Nothobranchius furzeri: one gene and its partner. The protein of the gene in region 1 binds, or shares a complex with, the protein of each later gene. Links are inferred from orthologs where the notes say so. Each region holds a gene or a part of one and is shown on either strand. Other genes may lie near its edges.

Evidence for each region. Proteins that work in one complex are often made in the same cells at the same time.
Region 2: the proteins of hcrtr2 (region 1) and hcrt are in contact, whole or in part, in a cryo-EM structure (PDB 7L1U), measured with the Homo sapiens proteins. The link is inferred for Nothobranchius furzeri from reciprocal best matches to the Homo sapiens genes HCRTR2 and HCRT. Residues at the interface, in NP_001371201.1 of Homo sapiens: Thr111, Val114, Trp120, Pro131, Gln134, Thr135, Val138, Gln187, Val209, Cys210, Asp211, Phe227, Thr231, Ile320, Ser321, Asn324, Lys327, Arg328, Phe333, Ala334, Thr336, Arg339, Val342, Tyr343, Phe346, His350, Tyr354; in NP_001515.1 of Homo sapiens: Asn89, His90, Ala91, Ala92, Gly93, Ile94, Leu95, Thr96, Met97.

The regions. Positions count from the first base shown.
Region 1 is NC_091752.1:23,451,774-23,456,628, reverse strand, and holds the start of hcrtr2 (orexin receptor type 2), read left to right. Parts: upstream 1-1,893; 5' UTR 1,894-2,030; coding exon 2,031-2,241; intron 2,242-4,855. UniProt on the Homo sapiens protein: Nonselective, high-affinity receptor for both orexin-A and orexin-B neuropeptides. Triggers an increase in cytoplasmic Ca(2+) levels in response to orexin-A binding.
Region 2 is NC_091745.1:6,570,784-6,574,865, forward strand, and holds hcrt (hypocretin neuropeptide precursor), read right to left. Parts: upstream 2,597-4,082; 5' UTR 2,345-2,596; coding exon 2,261-2,344; intron 1,479-2,260; coding exon 1,167-1,478; 3' UTR 749-1,166; downstream 1-748. UniProt on the Homo sapiens protein: Neuropeptides that play a significant role in the regulation of food intake and sleep-wakefulness, possibly by coordinating the complex behavioral and physiologic responses of these complementary homeostatic functions.

The DNA of each region.
Region 1 (4,855 bases):
CAAGGACACAATGACAGTGACAGACTGAGGGGGGCTCGAACCTGCAACCTTCCGATTATGGGGCGAGAACTTAACTCCTGTGCCACTGTGCTTGAAAAAAATGATTTAATGCCCCCAGATAATGATAATGCACCAAATGCAAAATACTGCACAAAGAAAACTATCTGGGGTGTGTCATATATCTATCTATCTATCTATCTATCTATCTATCTATCTATCTATCTATCTATCTATCTATCTATATCTATCTATCTATCTATCTATCTATCTATCTATAAATTAGGGCTGGGACTTGATTAAAAATTTTAATCTAATTAATTACAGGCTTTGTAATTAATTAATCTAAATTAATCACATTTTAATCGTTCAGGAAAATGTGCTCTCAAAGTAAAACTTTCAATTAAAATTATGAGAGAGAATCAAACATTAGACATGCTTTACAGTATTTAGAGTTTCTTTTTTACATTAATGGTATATTTTTTTTTACAGTAAGATGCCCAAATTTTTATTTGAGACACGCCGAATGGCGTTGAATTCACAGATAAAAAAGATGTGGGTTCAACTTTCATTTTGGAACAATTTTTCAAGCAAGGGAATGGAATGGTCTGAGCATGCAGGCTGACCCATCTTAAACCTTTGTCGGCTGTGCTGAAGAGAAAGGTACAGAACCAAATTATTTAATTAATTAACTGCGTGTTCTCCTGTCCTCCTGGCCACACACACACACACACACACACACACACACACACACACACACACACACACACACACACACACACACACACACACACACACACAAGGGACTGTCTCAGCTGTTATTTTCGTTAAGGAGTGTGCATGTACAGCATGCGCCTCGTGCACGAGCCTACTATTGAAGCTGCCGTTACGCTTTTGGCCTGAGGGGGCAATCGCAAGCATAAAAATTCAAAACTCCATAAAGTCTCTTTAAAACGAAGAACATCTAGGAGCTTCACCCTTTGAAAGCTCATAACTCAGAGTTAACACCATAAAGTTAACTCCTCTCAAAACGAAGGGGTTAAAACCAAAATGAGGCCTGGAGGACAGCAGAACCCCTGCACTGCTGCCTCATCAAAAAGGTTAACATTAAACCAATTACCCACTAAAAAAAACACCTGGTTAAAACTTATTAAAGGTTTCACCAAACAGAAGGTGTTTTTAAAATCCAGAAGTTGATAAAGTCTAAAGCAATCTACTGACTTAAAACACCTGGTAAAAACTTATGTTAAAGGCTTTACCGAACAGAAGGTGTTTAAAACCGGAGTCAATTAAATTGGAGCAAACCAAGTTAACCTTAACAAACAAAGACCCATTGGGATCAGTCAGAGTTAAAACTATTTAAGTTAAAACTCTTGAACTCGAAGGGGTTGAAAACAAAATGAGGCCTGGAGGACAGCAGAACCCCTGCACTGCTGCCTCCCAGACTGCTGAAGGCACAGCCTTTTTATCCCAGGTGTTGGTAGGATTCAGCTCAGCTGTGCTCCTCAGCAGCCTGGAAGAGAGGGGAAGGAGGGGCGGTGTCAGGCTGATCACCGGGGTTGGGTGATCCTGGCTCCTCAATCTCACAGACCAGGCTGGCAGCCGTAACATAATGTTATTATTAAGCAGTGCATTGCTAAGCAGACCCTCCCCCAGGCATTTTGTCCTAACCTTAAGGAAACTTAACAATTCACAATATCAGTAACGTTAATAAAGGGATTCTTCGTTTATTAACATTTAGTAACATTAATAAATGGACCCTTATTGTAAAGTGTTACCAGCGCATTTTCCCCCCCGGGAGCTTCAACCGACTTTGATCTCACGTGAGCCCCGTTACTTCCAGCTGGACTCGTTACGGACGTGCTGCTGTTTAACCCTGTTGTGACCGTTAGAAGACGCAGAGGCAGAGGGGACATCAGCCTCACCGTCGTTCTGACGGGGTTATTGTGCGTCCTCGTAGCCAGTCAGCTCAACAACCTGCGGTCTCAGCACACGCGCGGCTCTCCGCAGCAACAGAGAAGCGCATTTTAAGGATGTCCGGGATCACCGGGAATTTGGATTACGATGAATGTAAACATCCTGTTCATGTGGCCAACTGCACGGAGCTGCACTCCAACATGGAGACGGACGACGAACTTCTGAGATACATCTGGTCTGAGTACTTACACCCCAAAGAGTATGAATGGGTCCTAATCGTGGCTTACATCGTCGTGTTCTTCGTCTCACTCATCGGGAACTCGCTCGGTAAGTGGAATCATTCCATTCTCCCACTGTCTCCATTCATGCGTAAAAGCGCAAAATTCGCTCAACTTTCCTTTTCAAATTTGAATTTGACTGCTCAGAAAATCAGCTGCAAAGTCCTCACTGATGTGGAAACAATGTTTAATGCGGTTCGGGTTTTCTTTGATGTGGGACTCAGCGCTGCACCTGCGAGCCTGCAAGGCGCATGAGTCAGTGCGGCAAAAAGAAGAGAACAGGTGTGTTGAAAGATAACTCAGTCCAAATGCAGATTTGTTTTCCTTATCATTATACACATGCGTAATATTAATAAGATTCATGCATCAGTAATAGTAATAATAAAAAAATCTTTTTAAATTAATTTCAGCTCCCACGTCATTCCCTGCTCTTTGTACTTCTGAGAATCTGGGAAAGCCTCTGAATCATGTTCTATTTTCCTGTGAAAGAAGCCATGTTTGTCAAAACATCATGTTTAATATAATTTGTTTTCTTAGACGTTTCTTTCAAATCTGCATGGAAATCCCCTTTCGTCACTCTGCAGTTTGATCCTTTGAGCTAGACTCCAAAGAGCTTGTTTTTGGTTGTTTATCTCACTTGGGATTTCTCCTTATATTCCTGATACTTTATTAGACATTTTTCCATCATAAACAACATGGCGCTTTACACAATTTATATGTATGATCTCACAGTGAGACGGAGACTCAGGGTTGTGTTTTTTCTTTCTTTTTCAATAATTGAAGCTGTAACACGCTTGCAATTGTTTAAATATCGCTGGCTGGATTTTACTAACCTAAAGCTTAAGAATTAAAATAATCTACTCAAGAAAACGTTATTCTGGTAAATCATTTATCACAATTAAATTAGAACAAAAATACATGCACCAAAAAAATTAAAAAAAAACTTCTCTTTATGAATAATGTTAAAGTGGAAGTGTGTATTTTCCTGGCACTAGGGGGCAGTACATACATTTCAGGGTAGTTTTACACCATATCGCCCTGATTAAAAAAACATTACGATAAATGTTGTTATGCGTGTAGCAGAAAGCATGCAACCCCAACGTGACTCCTCAGACTTTGATGGTGCTTCAGTTAATTCCATCAAGAGAATGCAATGCTGATGCTAGTTTTCTGGCGCTGTTGTTTCTGGATCTCCTCTGGGTCCTGCACCTGCTGATGACATCATCATATTATGGCAATACCGCTCGCCAAAATATATTGCATCTCTTTTTCAATTATGTTCTTTTACTGTAACATGGTAACATAACTTCCGTAGGTCGTACATCCAGCCAATCATCTAGTGTGACGTCATCGACAGGTGCAGGGCCCCAAGCCGAGAAGGAAACGGCGTGTAATATTATGGCGTCCTGCAAAGACACTAGACTTGCTGCTTATGTGCTTTAGACCCGATTTTTATGGTTATATGTTACAAATCCACCAATATTTTTCAGTGACTGGACATAACATAATTCATTTTGAACATTTTGATGGCTATTTCCAGAATCAGAAGGGTTTTATTGCCACGTGTGCAAGACATCTCAACATTAGGAAATTGCTGTGATACTTGGTGCAAAAAGAAAGATAAAAATAAGAGATAAGTAAATGCAGGAAGTAAGAATATAATAATGATGAAATAATAATATAAAGTGGGAATAATTAGAGAAACGACTATTATATACAAGACAGTGTAGGTACTGATCAGAGTGGATCAGTTCAGGTACAAACACCACATAGGGTCATGTGACTGAAACTGAGTGACTGGATTGGGCAGCCCTAGGATTGTCATTCATGAGTCCAACAGCAGAGGGGAAGAAAGTGTTTTTGTGATGTGAGGCTCTGGTTCGAATGGATCTGAGCCTCTTACCCGATGGAAGCTAGTCAAAAAACTGTGTCCAGGGTGACACGGGTCAGCGGTGACCCAACCTGCATGCCTCAGTGTCCTGGAGGTGCACAGGGCTTGTAAGGAGGGGAGCTTGCATTCAATTATCTTCTCAGCACAGCGTAAAACACGCTGCAGTCTCTTCATGTCCCAGTTGGTGGCTTCAGCATACCACACAGTAATTCAAGAGGTGAGGATGGACTCGATGATTGCGGTGTAGAACTGCCTCATCGAATGTACTGGCAGGATAAATTTCTTCAGCTGCCACAGGAAGTATATCCTCTGCTGGGCCTTTTTTATGATGGAAATGATGGTAGGCACCCACTTGAGGTCCTGGGTGATGGTGGTGCCCAGGAAGCGACATGAGTTCACCATCGTGATGGGAGTGTCGGACAGAGATGTGGGGGGAGTGGAGCTGGTGCTTCCTAAAATCCACAACAACCTCCGCTGTCTTCTGGGTATTTAGCACCAGGTTGTTGTGGCTCCACCAGGAGATCAGCCGTTCAACCTCTATTCTGTGGGCAGACTCATCCAATGGCGGTGCTGCAAACTTGATAAGGTTGATGTAGGGAGAAGAGTAGAGGGGAGAGAACACAGCCCTGAGGGGAACTGATGCTGATGGTCCACGGGTCAGAGAAATTCTTCATCAGCCCTTCCAGAGATCAACAGTAAAAATGTGTTTATGTTTATGTATTTAGCAGACGCTTTTGTCCAAAGCGACTTACAAGTGATAATCGGCATTTTG
Region 2 (4,082 bases), on another chromosome or scaffold:
TTTGCAATGAATAAATCTGTTTTCAGGATTTAAACCCATTCATGAAGTAAAAAAATATATGAATCAGAGGATCCTTAAAAATGTCAGCTTTTAAATAATGTAAGCTACCCACATGTTTAAAAGAATATAGAATATAGTATTTTTTCTACTAACGTAACCCTTCTATTTTATTTGTGAATATATCTGAAGAGGGGGATCACAAGCATCACAAGCATCGATGGGGATTCAAACTGTGCACAGCAACAGTTAATTAACAGAACACACGTCGTTGTTTGGTGGGAGGAACTGAAACATCTAATTTTGAACTGAAGAACATCTTATTGTTAGACGTCTGTGTTACATTTAGAGGAAGCTGCTGCCTTCCTTTCCTTGGACAATTCAGCATTTACATTAATACATACATGGCAGCAGTAGCTCAACAGGTTGAGCGGGTTGTCCAGCAATCGGAAGGTTGCAGGTTCAATCCCAGCTCCGGACAGAGAATTCTGTTGTTGTGTCCTTGGGCAAGACACTTAACCCACTTTGCCTGCTGGTGGTGGTCGAAGGGACTGGTGGCGCCTGTGCTCGGCTGCCTCGCCTGTCTGTGCTCCCCAGGGCAGCTGTGGCTACATCGTAGCTCATCACCATCAGTGTGTGAATGTGTGTGTGAATGATACACTGTAGTGTAAAGCGCTTTGGAGTCCTTACTCTGAGAGGCGCTATACAAGTGCGGGTCATCATATTTTCTAAATCAGTGAGATTTTTCCCATCTTTTGATTGGCCACAGATCATTTTACTAATCAGCAGAATCAGTTGAATCCGACTCTCTGATAGGAAATCGGACTGCGCCTTGGAGCAAAATTGTTTTTCTTTGATTTTCTGTTTGTAAAAATGTGTGATTATTTTTTTAAAGAATGAACAAATCTGAATAAAACACACTTACTGATCATTCATGAAACCTGGTCTTGGATTCAAATTTTTAATTACCGTAATCACAAAGTCATTCACATTTCCAAAGGTTATAGCTTCATGTGTAAAGCTTACAATCATTCATCTTTAAATATTGCAAAAAGATGCATTTTGCACAAGTACACATCACAAAACAAAATAGATTTCATACAAACACTGTCCTAAAATGGTTCATGTTAAACAGAGAGATTAGATGTTTTTGTCTTGAATAAGCCAGTTCACTGCTCCCCAGTTGGCCCAGTGGTCCTCCTCCCCATCGTCAGGATCCCTGCTGCTTGGTTCCTGGAGCTGTGAAGAAGCTGGTGGAGTCGGCTCTGCAAGCGATACTCATTCTCGTCCCGTTTACCCAGCGTGAGGATCCCAGCAGCTGCATCTTCTACAATTGTTCCCCCCATGCTATTGCTGCCAGAACGGCACAGTAAGACATAGAGGCGGCAGGAGTGAGGAGGCTGTCTGCAGCACTCAGACACAATTTGGGCGTTACAATCCAGCTGAGACAGCAGCAACATCAAAACGAACACCAGGGCTTTCTGTTCAGGAAAAGAGAATAGCTTTGAAACGTGATTTTTTTTCTAATCCCAAAACCTTGAAAAGCCACTAACCTTCACATTTGTAGAATATAAACACATTTTCTAAGCATTAGTCAATAAGAAAACATTAACAGTACTACATCCATCTGAGGGGAGTGTTGTTTCTTTGTGCAAAACAATATTATATTTAAGTTGCCTCATATTTCTTTCACCACACACTTATTCCCCGAATGCAGGCTGGTGGTTTAGTTTCTAGGCTAAACAAAAAAAAAAAACGTCCAAATTTTAAATTGTGTTGTATAAATGTGTATTAATTTTGTAGAGTATCAACACAGCCAGCATTGCTTAACTACCTTAGAGGTACTGAAAAGAAATAGTATAGTATCTTTGATAATGTAATGAAATCATATTTTTGTGAATACCTCTATTACTAACCCACTGACCAGCAGGTTAACCTCTCAGAACTCGTTTTAGTCCCTAAATCCAATTGAAGCAAGCATTGGGTTCAACTGGGAAAAATGCTAAACCAAAAATCTATAAATTTATACAATAATGTTTGCATATAAAGGAATACATCATTACATTACATAACATTATTATATATTTTATCACAATTTTGATATATTTCTCATTTTAAACATATTTTTAATTTTTGACATTTTTTTTATACTTTAATTTTTTTTTTTTTTGCTTTTGTGAAGCACCTTGTGATTTTTATCTGGAGAGGCGCTCTCTAAAAAATCGTTTTATTTCTTTCTATATGATCCCTTGCATCATATTACCTTGTGCGTTGTGTCCATCCTAGCAGCTTTCTGGATCTTGGAGGGGCTCCACGTCATCTTCAGGCTTTTATGGAGGGCAGTCATCTGATCTTATCTCCTCAGGGGAGAAAGCTCTCTTATATACGTCTGCGTTGTCCACATCGTCAGGTCTCAGCACGTCATTCAGGCCAATCACTAACCATGAGCCAAACCACAAATTCTCTTATTTCTGTTTTGTGTGTGTGTGTGTGTGTGTGTGTGTGTGTGTGTGTGTGTGTGTGTGTGTGTGTGTGTGTGTGTGTGTGTGTGTGTGTGTGTGTGTGTGTGTGTGTGTGTGTTAGAAGTTTTTTGTGCAGTAATTAGATTTGTGTTGTAGATCATCTCCGAGGAAGCTCCATGGTTTTTTTTGAATAACTACAGGTATGTTTTTGTAACTGCACAAAAAAGCTGATTAAGACATACCATTAGTGTGAGTGGTGAAAGAAGGTAATGTGTCAGAAAATATAAAAAACTATACGAATACATAAAAAAGCTGTGTGGCCTTTCTCCTTTTGGCAAGTTGTTTAAAGGCCATGCTAATGAGTCCCTATGAGCTGTTTACAACACAAAAGTCAGACTGACACGTTAACAAAGGTTCTGTTCTTTCCAGCTCCCTTGCAGAAAATGTTCTTGTGTTTTGAGCTGAAAGTTTTAGTATTGTTTATTGTTTAAAGCGAGTGCAAAAGGTTTGGAGAACGATGTGTTGCTTTTCGCAAAGTTTGCTGCAGTGTTGTTTTCAGATCTTTTTTGTCAGATACAGTCCCGATCAAACGCTTAGGACCACTTGAAAAATGGCCAAAAATCATATTTTTCATGGTTTCATTTTAACAAAACAGAAATTAAAGTTCCAAACAGGAACTCAGTAATGAGGAGCTCCAGTGATCTCATCAAAAATGTGTTGCAGCATGCTTGCTACAAGCGTTTTAATGAAGTGAGTGGGAACATTCCTCCAAGTGGTGAAGATGGCTGCACACATTTCTATTGTCTGAAACTGATGTCCATTTTTATAAACTTCTCTTGCAATCCTTCTCCAGATGATCTCAGTTGGATTTAGATCAATGAAATATGCAGGGCTTGTAGAAGTCCCTAGTCCTGCAGGATTTGTGTAGCTCTCCAGCAGGCTGGACTATTGCGTTGGACTTTTGCCTGGTCTCACTAAAGAAGTTGGGAAGCAACTGCAGCTTATTGAGAATGCTGCTGCTAGAGTCTTAACAAGAACCAAGCGTAGTACTCCTGCTCTTACATTTGTACACTCCTGCTCTTAAATCTGTGCACTGGTTACCAATAAACCTTAAAATAAATTTTAAAGTACTTCTACTAGTTTATAAATCAGTTGGACGAGCATGTCCTCCACCCCCATGTTTGAGACCCATTGTAAACAGTCAGCTGGTAGAATTCAATTCAAGTTAATTCAATTCAATTCAAAAATACTTTATTAATCCCAGAGGGAAATTGATTGCTGTAGTAGCTCATAATAATAATAATAATCAAGTCATCAAAGAGCTGTTGTATATTACAATGGCTGTTGGCAGGAAGGATCTCCAGTAGCGGTCAGTGTTGAAGTGAAACTGAAGAAGCCTCTGTTGAGGGTCTGACCTCATGAGGAAATTACTATGCAGTGATTTTCTCCAAAATGACTGTGCTTAAATTGCTCTGAAAAGCAAATAATCACATCAGCGCCAAGAAACTTCATTTCCCATGATGCTTTGCACACGGAAGCATTGTGATGACGTCACCGCCTAGTACCAGAAACACGTTCTGCGCATGTGCGGGAAGCCGTGGAGCTTTTCCCGCGAACTAAGAC